3 linked regions of the Daphnia pulex genome follow. The protein of the gene in region 3 interacts with the protein of the main gene of each other region in a pairwise test. Links are inferred from orthologs where the notes say so. Each region holds a gene or a part of one and is shown on either strand. Other genes may lie near its edges.

Region 1 (5,008 bases), on a different chromosome or scaffold from region 3:
ATTTCTATATTTTTCTCAAAAATATTTCCTACCAAAAATACAATGAGCATTATAATTCTTCTATTTCGGGGTTTCTTGTGTTGAAATATACACACAGCGCGCACCGGTTAAATTGCGGGACACATCCTCCTCCCCCCCACAGAAAGAAAAGAAATGGGTTCGTTTGCGCTGGTTTCGCTACCGGTGATGGTGGTGAACGACCTCTTTTGATCGCATCTGTTTAACGGGTTTTTTCTTTTTCTTTCCAGTGCAGTTATAATAATCTTGGCGCTATTTTCTCACGCAAAAGTCCATCACATTTTTGTACGTAAGACATTTTCTATTTCTCCTACCCAAGAGGAGCGGGAGTAGTGTAGTAGTAGGGGTGCGGAAGGGGTAGCGGGAATCAATGATTCAGCTGGTGGGCACCACACACACACAGAGAGACAAAGAGCAACTCCTTACAGGAGCGTCGCACAAGGAGTCAAGGGATCGATGATAGGGATAGTAATAAAAAAAAGAGAGTAAAAAAGATTTCGATGGTTTGTTTCTTACCGACTGCGTGTTGCCGGCGTGAGTCTCCGTAGCCGGTTTTGTACGTTCGGTGCTGGACGGACCACCACCGGTATTAGTAGTTGAGTTGTTATTAATTCCGCCGCTACTGCTGCTGCTGCTTTTATTGCTCTTGCTGTTGCTACTCGTCTTTTTGGCTTTGGGGTCGAGATACTTTTGCTTCAATGCGAACGACTCTTGCATTTGCTGTTCGCACAAGGCCGGTCCGATTCGATCATAGTGCATAAATCGATCCTGATGATCCTTGGTGTAGACTTCGACTCGCCTCCGCAGTCGATCCACGGCCGCCTGACGTTTCGGAGGCAGCACCTCCGACATTACTCCGCACGCAACCAATAATCTTATTGGCTGCCCCGCTCTTAGCTCCACATCCGTTGAGGCTCCAGTCTGCTGCTGCTGCTGCTGCTACTCGAATGCTTTAATCTTTCCACAACATGGCCTGTTTTCATGCTGAATCAACCTGCAATTGCAAAATATCACGTTATTAAATCATTCGTCAAACAAACAAGGAATACTAAAAATTGACGTTAAGAACAGACAGACAAACATCCACAAGGTCGTGATATAAAAACTATAAAACACACAATAACCTTGGACTCTTTCAAACACTTGGAATTTATAGATTTCCCAGTAGTATGTACCAGAACTTTTGTTTTTCCCTGGAAACTCTCTCTCTCTCTCTGATATCGAAATTGAATTGCAACCCGAAGAAAGAAAAAACTCTTTGAACACAATACTTTTATATTTTTTTTTGAAAAAAAAGGGCCACCACTTGTGTAATGAGACGATGGGTTTCCAAATGATGGCCTTGTGTCTACTGCTTTCCCTACCCCTCCCAGTCGAGTCCCCCCTTCCTCCACACACACACACATTTCGAAAGGGAGTTTCTCGCGCGCTTGTCAAACAACACCACCTAGCGAGCGGGTTAACAACCACTTGACGCGTCACTAACTGGGAAAAACTGAAAGATGAACATAAAAGAAAAGAGGAAGGGGAGAGACAAAATATTTTCTCTCTCCCCACACACAACCACACACACCCTTCGGAAACAACCCCAGGTTCGAAATATATGCTGGGGCTTGTTCCCCTCACTGTGAAATAAAAAACCCTCAACCATTCAAATTTCTCAGTGTGTGTGTGTATGGGGCTCCTCAATGAACAAAACCTAAAAATGGACGTTGACTGGAAATCAAAACACACAGACGCTGGGAATATATATGACCAACACGTTTTGACCCCCCCTTTCGATGCATCCTCCTATACACACACACACACACAGACATAAGAGAGTGAAATATTGATTGCAATCTCACGCTGGTGTTGTGTGTGTGCGGTTTGATAGTGACGCGGGCGGAAGGTCCCCCCAAAAACCAATTCGGTCAAAAAATACAAAAATCCCCCAAGAAAACAACCGGCATGATGATTATTACATGCAATCAATTGTCTCTATGACCGGATGGTTACTCAACTTATACTCACTCAACAGGTTACAACAATATTTTAAGAAAGCACATGTGTCATTCCACACACGCCATTTTTGTTGGCGAAATTTTCTCTCCCCCCCCCCATCCCACAAGAAATGATGATTGCATACCTGCATGTGCCGAGTTTGAATAGATCCGCAGAGATGAGGTTAGAGGTATGTGGTAGTAGTGAGTAAGTGGTAAGTCTTAAATTGTGCAATAATCCAAGACACGAGACTCGGCTTGCTTTTGGCCAGATTCCAGTCGACACACAGACACTGCAACACACACCACACACACACCACACGTCCAACACGTAACACACTCGTTGGATATATGTCCCCACCAAAGTTTATGCTTGCGCCAAAAAATAAAAAAGAGACTCGGCAGCACAGACACACCGAGAATTCAATTTTCGAAAAAAAGAAAGCCAATCGATTGAGTCATTTGAACGTTTTTTTGTGGTGGGGAGTAATGGCGATTTTTTCCAAGACTAATTATTCGTCGAAATTGAGGGAGAAACACACACGACACCAGTGAGAGAGAGAGATCGATTTCGTCGGGGATTTGGTGTGTTTGTGTGTGTGATTGACGAAGAAGAGGGGGAAAAAAAATGATTTTGTTCGGAGAAGTTTCAGAGATACGTCTCGTTCTCGTTCAGCAGCAACTTCGACTGAACACAATTGCCACATTGGCTTGGAGAGTCCCCCCAGCCCCAGCCGTTCGGAGCTGTTAGCCGTCGGCACCTTGATACTCGTAGTCAAGCACACGTCAAAATGTGTGTCTGCTTTTTCAGTTGGGGTGGGGGGGATATCTATTTTATTTTACGTGGCGCTACACCACGTAATTCAAACGTTGGAAAATATTCGACTGAAATTCGATAGAAACGTCCAAGTTGATGAATATACATTTATTTTTAAGAGAGAAAGCTCAATAATGACGACTTTCCGTATTAACAGGAGAGAGACGGATTTGACCACATTTCACTTGAAAAGCCAACGGAAAAGCCAAGCGAAAAAAGAAAAGAAAGAAAAAAGAGAGAGGGAGAGACTCGGGCTCTTCCCCGACAGACAGCGCCACAGCGGCCACGGCTGCAGACGCCACCCGTTTTCTTTCCTCTCTCTTTCGCCTCTCTCCTTTCATCCTGATTTCCTCCCTTCCCTCCGCTTTCGTTTACAGTTTCGGCCGCGCGTCTTACTTGAAAATAATTTTTTTTTGTCTTCTTCTCTCTTTCTAGATTTTTCGTGTGTTGGATTTTCATTTTATTGGGACACATTTTTTTTTTGTTTTCTATTTTCTTTTGACCTCTCAACTGTCATCTAGCGGCCAATGCGACCAACGATATACTAACGTCACATTTCTATAACTTAAATGCTATTTTCTCAATGCTAAACGCGCATAATAATTAGCTACGAGACAACATCTTGATGCAAACACGTAATAATAATACGTAAGGCAATAGGAGATGAAATTATTATGCCATTAACTGATGAAAATCTGCTCGTAAAAAGCCTATGCTTAATAATAAATCTACCAAGGCCGCACTGCAGGTCACAATGACTAACGGTCGTCGAGACGTCGACACACACAAAAAAGGAGGAAGGGGAAAAAAAAGTTACTTTCTACCAAAAACTGGCAATGCTGTATGTTTACCTCGGCGAAAAGAAAAACAAACCTTCCGTCCCGCTGATTTGTCGATTTGACAGTTGCTCTGGTAACGTTAGTATTGGCAAAGTAATAAAAAACCTGTTGGGTCGATTTCCGCAGCTTGGCAAGAAGGTAAAAAGGAAATAGTATTAAATCAGTCAACGAGGAGAACATGGGGCGCAAAGTTGTAGTCGCCGTTTGCTGCTTGAACCAGTGGGCTTTGGATTTCGACGGAAATCTGTCACGCATCATCGCCAGCATCCAAGAAGCAAAAGTACAAGGTGCTAGTTATCGCACAGGACCCGAATTAGAAGTCACAGGATACAGCTGTGAAGATCATTTTTATGAAGCTGACACTCTTCTACACAGCTGGGAGGTTAGCGTGTCACTTTTCTGATTTATGTTTACTGCGGTTTGTTTCTGGGAAATCTAGAAAATGATCTTTGATCCTCAAATAGGTTTTGGCTGAACTATTAGCCAGTCCAGTATGCAAAAATATTTTAGTTGATGTTGGCATGCCGGTTATGCACAAGAGTGTCACTTACAATTGCAGAGTTGCTTTTTTCAATGGGTAAGCAATTGTTTTATTGTTATTATGCTCTTCTTATAAACAGTACCCCCCTTTTCGCAGAAAAATCTTGCTGATTCGTCCTAAATTGAAACTCTGTGATGATGGCAATTACAGAGAATCAAGATGGTTCACTGCCTGGACAAAAGTATAAAATTTATTTTACACCAGTTTTTGGGATCTGTGGCCTTAATTAAATGTGAATTATTTTGTAAACAGCTTTACCAAACAGAGGATTACATATTGCCAGAGTTTATAAGAGAGCTTACAGGGCAAAAATCTGTAGTTTTTGGAGATGCAGTCCTGGAAACCTTGGATACCACCATAGGTTTTGAAATTTGTGAAGAATTGTGGAATCCCTCCAGGTACAGTTGTACTTGCAAATGAATATTATTATTGTTTGTTGTTTTAATGACCAGTAAAACCCAATATGCACACTATTTGGTAGTACTCACATTTCTCTCGGTTTGGACGGCGTTGAATTCATCGTCAACGGGTCGGGTTCCTACTTTGAGTTGCGCAAGGCCAACGTTGCCGTCGATCTTGTCCTACAAGCAACATTAAAGTCCGGCGGTTGCTACTTATTCTCAAATTTAAGAGGCTGCGATGGACAGCGTATCATGTTTAATGGAGGATCGTGTATCGCACTTAACGGACAAACAATCGCTAGAACGCGTCAATTCTCCTTAGAAGAAGTGGTAATTTTCGTCACAATATGTATCACTTGGATATTTTTAAAATCATTTCTTGCGATGGTTTATTCTTTAGGAAGTTGCTG
Region 2 (5,042 bases), on a different chromosome or scaffold from region 3:
CCCGTACTAGAACCGCTGCTGCTGGATGACCCATGGATTCCTGGTCCGACGGGATTTACTGCGCCTAGCAGAGAAGGTGGTTGACTTCTGTCTCCACCCATCAGTCCACTGCGTACGTCGGATCCACTGCTCCCTGTTTGTTATTACAACGTCAACATATTTGAAGTTCGACTTTCACAATACAGTTTGTAAGGATTCAATTAATCGAATTTGGAGGGTTACCTGAACCACTGTGAACGCTGCCTTCTCTTCCATACGTAAATGTAGTACTTTGTACAGGCGCCGATCCGAGGGGATCACTGCTGTAGCTGTAAGGCATGGGCGCATAACCGGTTGGATAATAAGGTATGTGAGGGGTAGCCCCACCGGCTCCTGTAGCACCAGGCCCACTACCCCAAGGAGTCGGCAACGGCAACGGTGCGAGCGTGTCTCTATCGGCTTCCGATGTCGTGTCATCAGTCAGGCGAAGAGCCGAAACACCTACAAGATAAAACCCTTTCATCAAACAAAATATTCTATAACCCGATAAGTCTCAAATGTCAACTCACCCAAACACAGGTCTCCGAACACGTAGTAACATTGTTCAGAGAATGTGTACTTGTTTACTGTATGTCTGATGTAACCGTTTCGCAGAAGCTGGGAAGCCAACTTGCGGGCATCACGCCGCTCTTCTAGTCCTTGCACGCGATTGTGAAGCCAGTCGACCACTTCTGATCCAATAAACGCACTTGGAATTACAATTTTTAACCAAAGGCGATCTCTAACTTCAAGTCCGGAATCTGGGCGCGCCATCGCTCGCACAATTGCGAGCATGTCTGAGCGCACTGAAAGCGGTTGGGCTTCTTCAACTGGACCTGTGACAAGTAGTACTTAGTCAAAAGTTCTTTCGGTACATTTTCTACGTGACAACTTACGTTCGGTTTCTGGCATACTCGACATCATTGTTGTGGTGGTTGACGACATCGTCGCCACAGATGGCGGACGATTCGGGTACTGCGTTCCACCTAATATGACGTTAGATTTGTTGTTGGATGCCAATTTATGATTTAAAATACGACAATCACCTCTTGCTGCTTCCGTGTGAGCAACCCACGCACCGGGATCAATAGGGCGAACAGGTTCCGTACGGGGTATAGTGAAATATCCTTTTGGATTAGGATCCCAACACTTGGCGACTACAAGTTTGATTGGGCTGACACATGCAAATAAAAAACACAATGTACTAAATGTTAAGTTGGAAAACAAAAAAAACAGTTATGCTTACCCAGGTTTCTGGACAACTTCTCGTAAAACGCGAACGGCATCGTCATTTGACATATTTTCAAAGTTAATATCATTGACTTGAAGGATCATGTCACCAGGCTCGATTCGACCATCCAAAGCGACAGCCCCACTAAATAATAGCAATGATTTTCATTTGAAATTACCACAAGAAATATGTCAGGTTCATCTGTGTTTATACCCTTTCATTATGGATCCTACGTAAATTCCACCATCACCACCTTGATGACTCTGGCCGACGATGGAAATTCCTAAAAAGTTGACTGTGTCCATGTTGAGGGTGACAGTGATTATGTTGAGTGACATAGTGGAATCCGTGATACTGGAGAATGATGAAGCTCGAGATGAAAGAGGAGGGAGGCGGGGACGGCGACGATTACGTCTCCGATTGCGACCTTGGCGAGACACACTAGTGTGATCTGCAAATTTCAAAATATGCAAAATTTTCAATAAATCCAGAGTTATTATAACTTTGCTTAATACCCGTGGTCGTTGTGATACGTGAAGATGCATCTTCTTCAGAGTCAACGAAGCTGGTCGACTCTAAATCCGAGCTGATCATAGAAGAGGATTCATATTCGTGTCCAGCTCTGTGTCTCATAGCGTTGTGGCCATTTCGAGGAGCTTGAACTAAAGAGACAATCGGATGTTAATCGAATATATAGTAAGATAAGACATTCTACATGAAAATTTAGTGAAGCAACAATCTACAAAAAAAGCCATGCTAACAAACTCACCATCAAAGCGATCATATTTTTCATAAGTTTCACGATGCACACGGCCAGAGCGGGGCAATATGTGCCTCTCTTCATGGCAAAACATAAAGAACAAAAGAATTGCAGAAGATAACGAAAAATGAGATGCAACAGGACAAAGGTAAACACATAAACATAAAAATACAGCATAAGGAAATAAAGTTTACCACTGTGTCTTGAACTAATGACCGATTCTGTCTCAGTAGCTGTTGTGTATTCCTCAGCCATACTTCTGTTATGGCCAGGGCTAAAATCAAATGACGAGTTAATTACCAAACTTTACAAGCAGTGAAAATTTGTAAAGAAAAAACTCACTGGAAAGACGGTGGTCTCCCATCAGTAGTGGCAGTACTCTCAGCACATTGAGATACAGAGTCTGAAATGCTACTTTCAGCTGATACTAGCTACAAAGTGAAAGAAACATTAAGACATCTTAAAATATTCATCAATATAATTTAACTTGTTACGTTTACCCATGATATGACTCTTCCATTGAAACATGGAAGGTGAGCATCGTCATCAACAATTTCTTCCTTGACAACACTAGAAACATAAACAATAAAGAGAAAACAATGCTTACACTTGCATAAAAAAATAACTACATGGACAATTATCATGTAACACGTTATTGCCACTTGACAACAACAAAAAAAAAACGAGAAAAACTGGTTTTACCCGAAATCGTCGTCCATTGATTTGAAGAAAAATTTGTAATTTGGACGATTGAGAACATTCTTGAAATCGGCTAGGGTAACTTGATCGGGAGATATTGTAAGTTTAACAAGATAGGGAGTTTCTTCTTCGTCAATGTGGTAAATAATCTTTGTTTCCGCCATTAGGAAACTGCGTCAAGAGTCAACGACAACAAACCAATCGTTTTGACAAGATTACAAAAACGGGTAGGGCGTCAAAAGTTACTATCTGCGCAACATGAAGAGGACTGAATAGTGAATACAGACTTTTCCCCTTTCCCTCAGGCTGTTCAATATGGCGAGGCTTAAAGTCTTGTGAGCCTCCAATTGGGCGTCCCGGTTTTCCCAAAAAATATTAACGTCAGCCGACAGATGGTTTTTCCGACCCGCTATCCACAGCGTAGCCATCTACTGCTCACACTGCACACTACTTGCTTCAAATTCAAATCTGGCAAAAAGGGGGGATCTTCAAAAAGGGCTGTTGTTCGTGATTTTTGTTTCATTTAAAAAAATAAAATAGCATATAACGTTGAATAACTCGCTAACGGCCGTGATATATTAATAATACAATAATCATTAATCATGGTGAATTGGTGATCTTACTATCGTATCCATAGTAATATAATATAATATATATTAATATTTATTCATAAAATAATAATTAATATGTATTCTAGCTTTGGTTATCATGTAAGCTGTAAAGATTCCTTAAATTTTCGATTGCTTTTAGGTTGTGGTATCATGGCAAAAGGGCAGCAAGCTAGTAGCCAGTAGTGATGTTTCGTTAGTGCTTTTTCTAAACGTTAGCGTTATCCGTTAAGTTAACGATGTCTCATTTTTTCACGTTCGTTAACGCCGTTAATTAACGCCGTTAAAAATGTCTCCGTTAACGAAAATTCGACGTTATTTTTACCGTTATTTAATAAAAAAATTGCACTATCAAATCACTGAAATCAGTCACGGTCTTGATTACTTATATTTAAATTGCTGCTGGCGTTGAACAATGTCACAATGAAGCAATGATCAACTAAAAAAAACAGAAACTGCGGATTAAATAAACGCACAGACAAAAGAAAAAAAAACAAGTTCCAACTAAAAAAGTAAAGGCCTCAATAAATCCTTATTGCAAGTGAGGAAGACTTTTGCGGCCAAAACTTCTTCCGCCGTCCTATTTTTGTGTCCTAGACAGTGCCATCCGGCAATGGAAAATTCGCGTTCAGATGATGCCGAAGAAACTGGTATAACCAGTAAATTATAGGCCATTTTGGATAATTAGGGGAAACGACCAGACAAATCCTTCCAGTAAGAGATCACATCTTGAACTGGTGGATCCTTAGAAGGATCAAATTCATGACTTGCAAAGTGGAAGTTGTCTAAAAGTTCAGTTTCAATGCAGTCGAGGGAAGTGGCTAGAAGGTAGGAGCAGTCGAAATCAGGATCTCTTTAATCTGTCATGAAATTAAATCTTCTTTCGAGATCTTCTAACATCGCAGATGCCACGCTTATTCACCGTCAACAGGAGCATCAGAGTCTGAATCTGACATTAAAGATTTACACTCTGATTCTAGTTGTTTCCCTACTCTACTTATACAGTTTCGTTTGCCACGTTTTGAAAGCAAAAAAAAACCTCAGAGAAGCTAAGAAGACTACTGCTCACTGTCATTGGCTATTTAAATTCGTTTTCATAGTCAACCTACTACAGTAAAATGTTGGAAGCGCGCAAAAAATACAAATTTCATTTTGAAAAATCCAAAAATTTCATATTTGGCAGCGCTGTTAAAAACAAAAATAACGTCTGAAAATAACGTCTGAAAAATGCCAAACGTTAGCGTTATCCGTTAAGTTAACGAACCCCAAAAAAGGTCCGTTAACGGACTTTTCACGTTATCCGTTATCGTTAACGAAACATCACTAGTAGCCAGTTCTCACTGAAGTTCGTCTGCCACCACTCACCAGCATTGGCAGCATTTTTTTGCAAACGTGCAAAGTTTCAATCATGAGATGGTTTGATTGTAGTGAGCATTTGTCTAATGAGTTCACGCAAAAGTTTGCTTTTTTTTTTCTTCTCGATTGCCTCACGAAAGCAGTCAAATCAAGGAAATGTTTATATTCAATGGGCCCAGATCACATCAAGGCATGGATGGATGGTTTCACCCATATTGGACTTTTCAATCTTTGTTTGCTCAAACAAAAAAAGGGCTTCTAAAAGATTTTGTTCTGTGTGTTTTTATTATGTTAATAACCCCCAGCACTTAGTTCGAATGCAGCAAGTCTAAGCTTTTCAAGTTCAGTGTGACCGTTGCAGTTACCTCTG
Region 3 (4,830 bases):
AAGTGGCGCCATTGAAGCAAGCGGCACCGGCGCAATCATCGATATTCTCCGAGCAGTCGGATCCAGTCCAGCCGTTGACGCAAATGCAGGAGAATCCACCGTGGGTGTTGGTACAAGTAGCGCCGTTCTTGCAGACGCTAGGCCTCAAAGCACATTCATCGACGTCTTGATTACAATAAGGCCCCGTAAAGGATGGTGGACACTGGCATGTGTAGGAATTGACGCCATCGACGCAAGTGGCTCCATTCTGGCATAAATGACCGGGGCAGTCGTTGACATTTTCTTGGCAATTGGTACCAGCAAAGCCTAGAATTTTGATAATCAGAAGAAAGGGGGGAAATATTAGATTCGTGTTAAAGGGAAAATGGCAACGCTGTAAGTAGACAGGAAAGAATTCTTTGTTGGTCATCGCCCAGGTGTTCTTTTTTTTAGAGAAAGGTGGAGGGGTCGGAACATAAAAGAGCCTGGAGAGATTTGAGAGAGAGAGAGAGAGGGGCTCGGATATTTATATTCAAGTCTCTCTGGATGGACGAGGTTTGCCCCGAGGGTATAACAAGTTTTGGCTTTCTTGTGTGTGTGGGAATGTTCCCACCGATGGAAACCAAGCACATCCGAAATCTGATGACTTTAGATTTAAACTTCATTTTAACAGCCGACAATGACTTTATGGCTACTCTAACCAGATTCAATGTTGTTGTTGTTTCTTTTTGGTTGTTGGGACCAACAATTCGTTTCAGTTGTCATAAATTTACCGGAAAGAAGAGGAATAAAAGGTTCAATCAAATTTTATGAGACTTACCAGGCGGACAACGGCATTCGTAGTTGAGAGAATCGATGGCTTTGCACGCACCACCATTCTGGCATGGAGACGGACTGCATGGCACATACTGATTTTCGCAATTCTGGCCAGTATAACCCGTGTGGCAGTTACATCTGGAAAATAAAAAAAGTAAACGGATACAAACGGATGATTAGCGCCCGGCATGATACAAACATGAGACGAGACACACACAGACACGTGACGAGAAAGTACAAATAAATTCAATCTGGTGTCTACTGACCACGGCGATTTAATGGACTTGTTTTCGCCTCGGCCGTTCCCACGCTAACTCGACAATGAAAGCCTTGAAAAATTTAATTTCTTTTTTGTCCTCTTTTAATATTTTTGGAAGGAAACTACATTTTTAAAAAAATGTTGAATAGAAGATAATAATAAAGATGTGACGAAAAAATTTCCCCTCGGACTTTCTTTGGTCGGCGTCAACAACTTTGTTGAGTCAGCTTGGTAATCATTTGACAATCATGACGTCGAGATAAGGATGCCAAGAAAGATCAACAGATGGTTGACGACAAGAGTCAATACGACTGGACTCACTTGTATGATCCGTGGGTGTTGACACAGCGACCGTGGATGCACGGGTTGCGTTTACACTCGTCAATGTCCACAGCGCACGTCGGGCCAGCGAATCCAGGAGCGCAAGTGCAGCGGTGAGAGTCCGACAAAGACGTGCACTGGGCACCGTTTTTGCACGGATGCAGGGCGCAGTGGTCGACAGCTTCGCATTTGGCGCCGCGGAATCCCGACGAGCAGGCGCAGGTGTAGTTATCCAGCGTGCGGAGTAGACACGTTCCGCCGTGTTGGCACGGCCCAGTGTCGCAGGCGTTGGGCACGGGAATCTCGCACAGCGAGGCCGAGTAACCCAGCGGACACGAACAGGAGAAGCTGGGCACGGCATTAGTCGACATTTTGACGGCGCAAGTGCCGCCATTTTGGCACCGAGGTCCGGGTCCCGTATGGCAGGGGTTGGCAAATTGGCAGTACTCGCCCACGTATTGCGGCGGACAGCTGTAAAAAATAAAAATAAAAAGAGTTAATCATTTGTTTCACAAGTGATTGGAGCAACTGGACCATGTGTATCAAAGCATAATCCCCAAAAATAAAAAATCAACGTTCCCCCCCTTCTACTACCACCTCCACTACCAGACAAAGAAAAAGAGCTGGAGGCAGTACGTGAGCAGCTCGGGCCCAAACCGGATGGAACAAAAAAAAAAAGTGGACAAGGTGGTGGTGGTAGGGTGGCTGACGGTAGGTGGTTTCAATAGCCCAAACTATGCAGACCAGCTTGTTTCCCACGCTTCTGAGCGAGAGAGACTCTACCATTGGAGAGAGAGAGAGAGGGGGGGGGGGATAGATCTCCCCTGTAGACTTTCAACAATGGACGTTACCTGCAGTAAGACTCGCCGCGCGGGTTGGAGACGCACGACGCTCCATTCTTGCAGGGATTGGGCGAACACGAAACGAATCCTGGAATAAATAAAAAAAAAAGAAAAAAAATTACAGTTAATTATTATTATTGATTTGAGTGAATGATAATACACACACACAAAAAGAGCAACGGAAACGGGTCCACTATCATGCACTTCCGCCCTGATAGAGGATACGATTCAATGGACATACGACGCTATTGTCTAACATCATTAACTCATGACTATCAAATAACATGTGGCCTAACGCTATGTGACACCACCAAAATGTCTTGGCTGATGAAAATGTCTTGAAACTTAATCATCTCACGATGTCTTTATTCGCCGGATATGTTGGTCATCACCATATTCTTTTTTTAATTTTAAAAAATAAATAAAATGATTTGCTGAGATCTCGGCAACGTCGATCAACAGGTCGGAGAGGGGGGGGGGGGGGGGGAGAGAGAAGGACAATGAGAGCGTCGGTTGGAGGGGGGATTTAAATGCGTGGGAAATGTAAAGCCCTACGGGGCCCGGCGTCTTTTTTTGAAAAGAAGAGCAGATGCAACAAAACTCTAACCGTCATCCCAACTACTTTTTTCAGACTCCCCCCTACCTTTAATGAAACAATCGTCATGAGGTAATTTTAAGCCACACGAATATTCGAGACAAAAACGTCAAGGTTACCTTGAACTGAAGCTGAGAAGAAGACGAGAATGCCCAGCAACAGCATCAGTAATCCACTGCGGTCGGTCCCCATTTTTAATGGCAGCAACAAAAACAGGGACTCACACACACTTAACGTTTCTTTCTTTCTTCTCTCCCTCTTTGTGTTGAATAGATGAAAAATTAAATCACTCAAAACACCAACACTTTCAGCCACTGGGTCATGGTGATGCACTTTTTCTCTTGTTTTTACACACTTTTCCAGTAAAGAGATTTTTTGTTAAACTCAGATGCACACAGAGAAAAATGGAAGAAATTCAAGCAGCAGCGACACAGTACATCCTTCCCGTTCAACGGACGCTTCTCGACTGGCCGGAGGGAGTCGCTCTATCAGAATAACTGGCCTCGAGGCAAAACCACCGACAACCAATCAGAGTCCGACTTGTTCTCTTCCTTTCTCCTTGCAATCTCCGCGGGTTTTCTTGCTGCACACAGAGAAGAAAAATTATAATACACAAGAACAAAATTGAAATTGCGCCTATTCTTCTTCCAGTATTCTGTCACTCGGCCAAACGTGTCGCCTATAATAACGATTTTTCTCAACCACAGAGTTATTTGTATTTGTGGTATATTCTAGATGAAACTTTGATTGCGAGTCTAACAAGTTCATGACTTGGTTTCTTCTATTTCACAAACATGTAGAATAGAATTCCCCGAAGAAAGTAATTAAAGCCGAAAGAAGGGAGCTTCTCAAAGAATTTTGGGGCCGATCATAAAAGACCCAAGAGGAATACTAGGCCTAGAAATATATTTTTATATTGTCTGATTTCCGTAGGGATGAAATATCCCCCCATCCATCATACAGGGGAAAAAGTGACATCGTCCAAATCTTTCCAGCAACTTTCCCTTTTAGTGAAGCCGATTGGAAAAAGGACCTGTCGATTTGTTTTTGACTGGGATCGTGACGCCTTTAAGCTCCTCATCCAGTTGACATGTCCGTCCATTGTTTTTCTGCCATTCCGCGCATGGTATAATCAGCCGTAAAAGTGGGCTACATCACGAAAGCAGCTCGTTGTCGAGCCCACAAAAAAATAATGCAATTGAGAAAGAAACAGTCTGATGCACCATACGAAAAACGGAAAAAGAAGGTAGAAACTAGATGACCGGCAATCATCATCAAGCTCCAGGAATCCGAAGGCCGCATCATGTAGACCGTGATTGATCATTCAACTGGCGCCGCCGGAATCATCTTCTGCGTTCTACCCATTGCGTGATGCGCCTTTCATCATATTTATATTCATTTCTTCTTCTGCCTATGGCTCTGCATCATTCATATTTTTATTTGTGTCATATACGCCTCGAACCGAAATTTCCTTTTTTTTTCCCCATTTTACATTCGATCCGCGCTGATTGGTTCTCATCATCTACCGTGCAGTTAGACACGAAAATCATCAGGTCTTTCCCGTTGGGATAAAAGGGTTAACGAGATACCCAAACTTAGAACTAAACCAACTTGTTCCTGCATTGACTTGTTCGTATTCCTCGAGCGTAAAACCCAAACAATCAACTCAATGCTCTATCGATGGTCACGTGACCAAACCCCCTTCACCACAAGTGGTGGTGGGGTAGTTGCGACAGATTGGCAGCAACTGTTGCACATGTAAACCACTCAAACGGATCACAAAAAGTAGGGGGGAATTGAATCAAACGATCAAATGGAGAGGGGTGAAATGGTTATCCGTGGGAACGGAATAAAAAAAAAAAACTCGTTTCTAGGCCTCTAAAAAAGAAAAGGAAAATTCGCTTCGTGATAAATCGATCCAACCTATTTCTCCAGTCGTGTGGAGCGCAACCGTTGACCCCGTGTCTAGATCTGTCAAAAATGATAATCGGGACAATGAAATCATTTGTCGTTCGTGA

Evidence for each region. The genes of interacting proteins can lie anywhere in the genome.
Region 1: the proteins of neurogenic locus Notch protein-like (region 3) and neurogenic protein mastermind-like interact in a two-hybrid assay, tested with the Drosophila melanogaster proteins (5 studies listed by BioGRID). The link is inferred for Daphnia pulex from reciprocal best matches to the Drosophila melanogaster genes N and mam.
Region 2: the proteins of neurogenic locus Notch protein-like (region 3) and segment polarity protein dishevelled homolog DVL-3-like interact in a two-hybrid assay, tested with the Drosophila melanogaster proteins (3 studies listed by BioGRID). The link is inferred for Daphnia pulex from reciprocal best matches to the Drosophila melanogaster genes N and dsh.

What each region holds. Positions count from the first base shown.
Region 1 is NC_060024.1:12,904,651-12,909,658, reverse strand, and holds the start of neurogenic protein mastermind-like, read right to left. Parts: upstream 3,091-5,008; 5' UTR 2,147-3,090; intron 1,013-2,146; 5' UTR 871-1,012; coding exon 535-870; intron 1-534. Other genes in the region: glutamine-dependent NAD(+) synthetase-like, read left to right, coding at 3,835-4,038, 4,121-4,233, 4,294-4,378, 4,450-4,595, 4,679-4,928, 4,999-5,008.
Region 2 is NC_060018.1:12,878,184-12,883,225, forward strand, and holds the start of segment polarity protein dishevelled homolog DVL-3-like, read right to left. Parts: upstream 3,091-5,042; 5' UTR 2,873-3,090; coding exon 2,712-2,872; intron 2,580-2,711; coding exon 2,510-2,579; intron 2,441-2,509; coding exon 2,352-2,440; intron 2,284-2,351; coding exon 2,204-2,283; intron 2,088-2,203; coding exon 2,019-2,087; intron 1,912-2,018; coding exon 1,765-1,911; intron 1,701-1,764; coding exon 1,463-1,700; intron 1,394-1,462; coding exon 1,265-1,393; intron 1,193-1,264; coding exon 1,065-1,192; coding exon of another isoform or gene 1,005-1,064; coding exon 915-1,004; intron 855-914; coding exon 549-854; intron 481-548; coding exon 223-480; intron 134-222; coding exon 2-133; coding exon of another isoform or gene 1-1.
Region 3 is NC_060028.1:5,081,837-5,086,666, forward strand, and holds the start of neurogenic locus Notch protein-like, read right to left. Parts: upstream 3,281-4,830; 5' UTR 3,005-3,280; coding exon 2,932-3,004; intron 2,306-2,931; coding exon 2,227-2,305; intron 1,847-2,226; coding exon 1,376-1,846; intron 934-1,375; coding exon 800-933; intron 307-799; coding exon 1-306. UniProt on the Drosophila melanogaster protein: Essential signaling protein which has a major role in many developmental processes. Functions as a receptor for membrane-bound ligands Delta and Serrate to regulate cell-fate determination.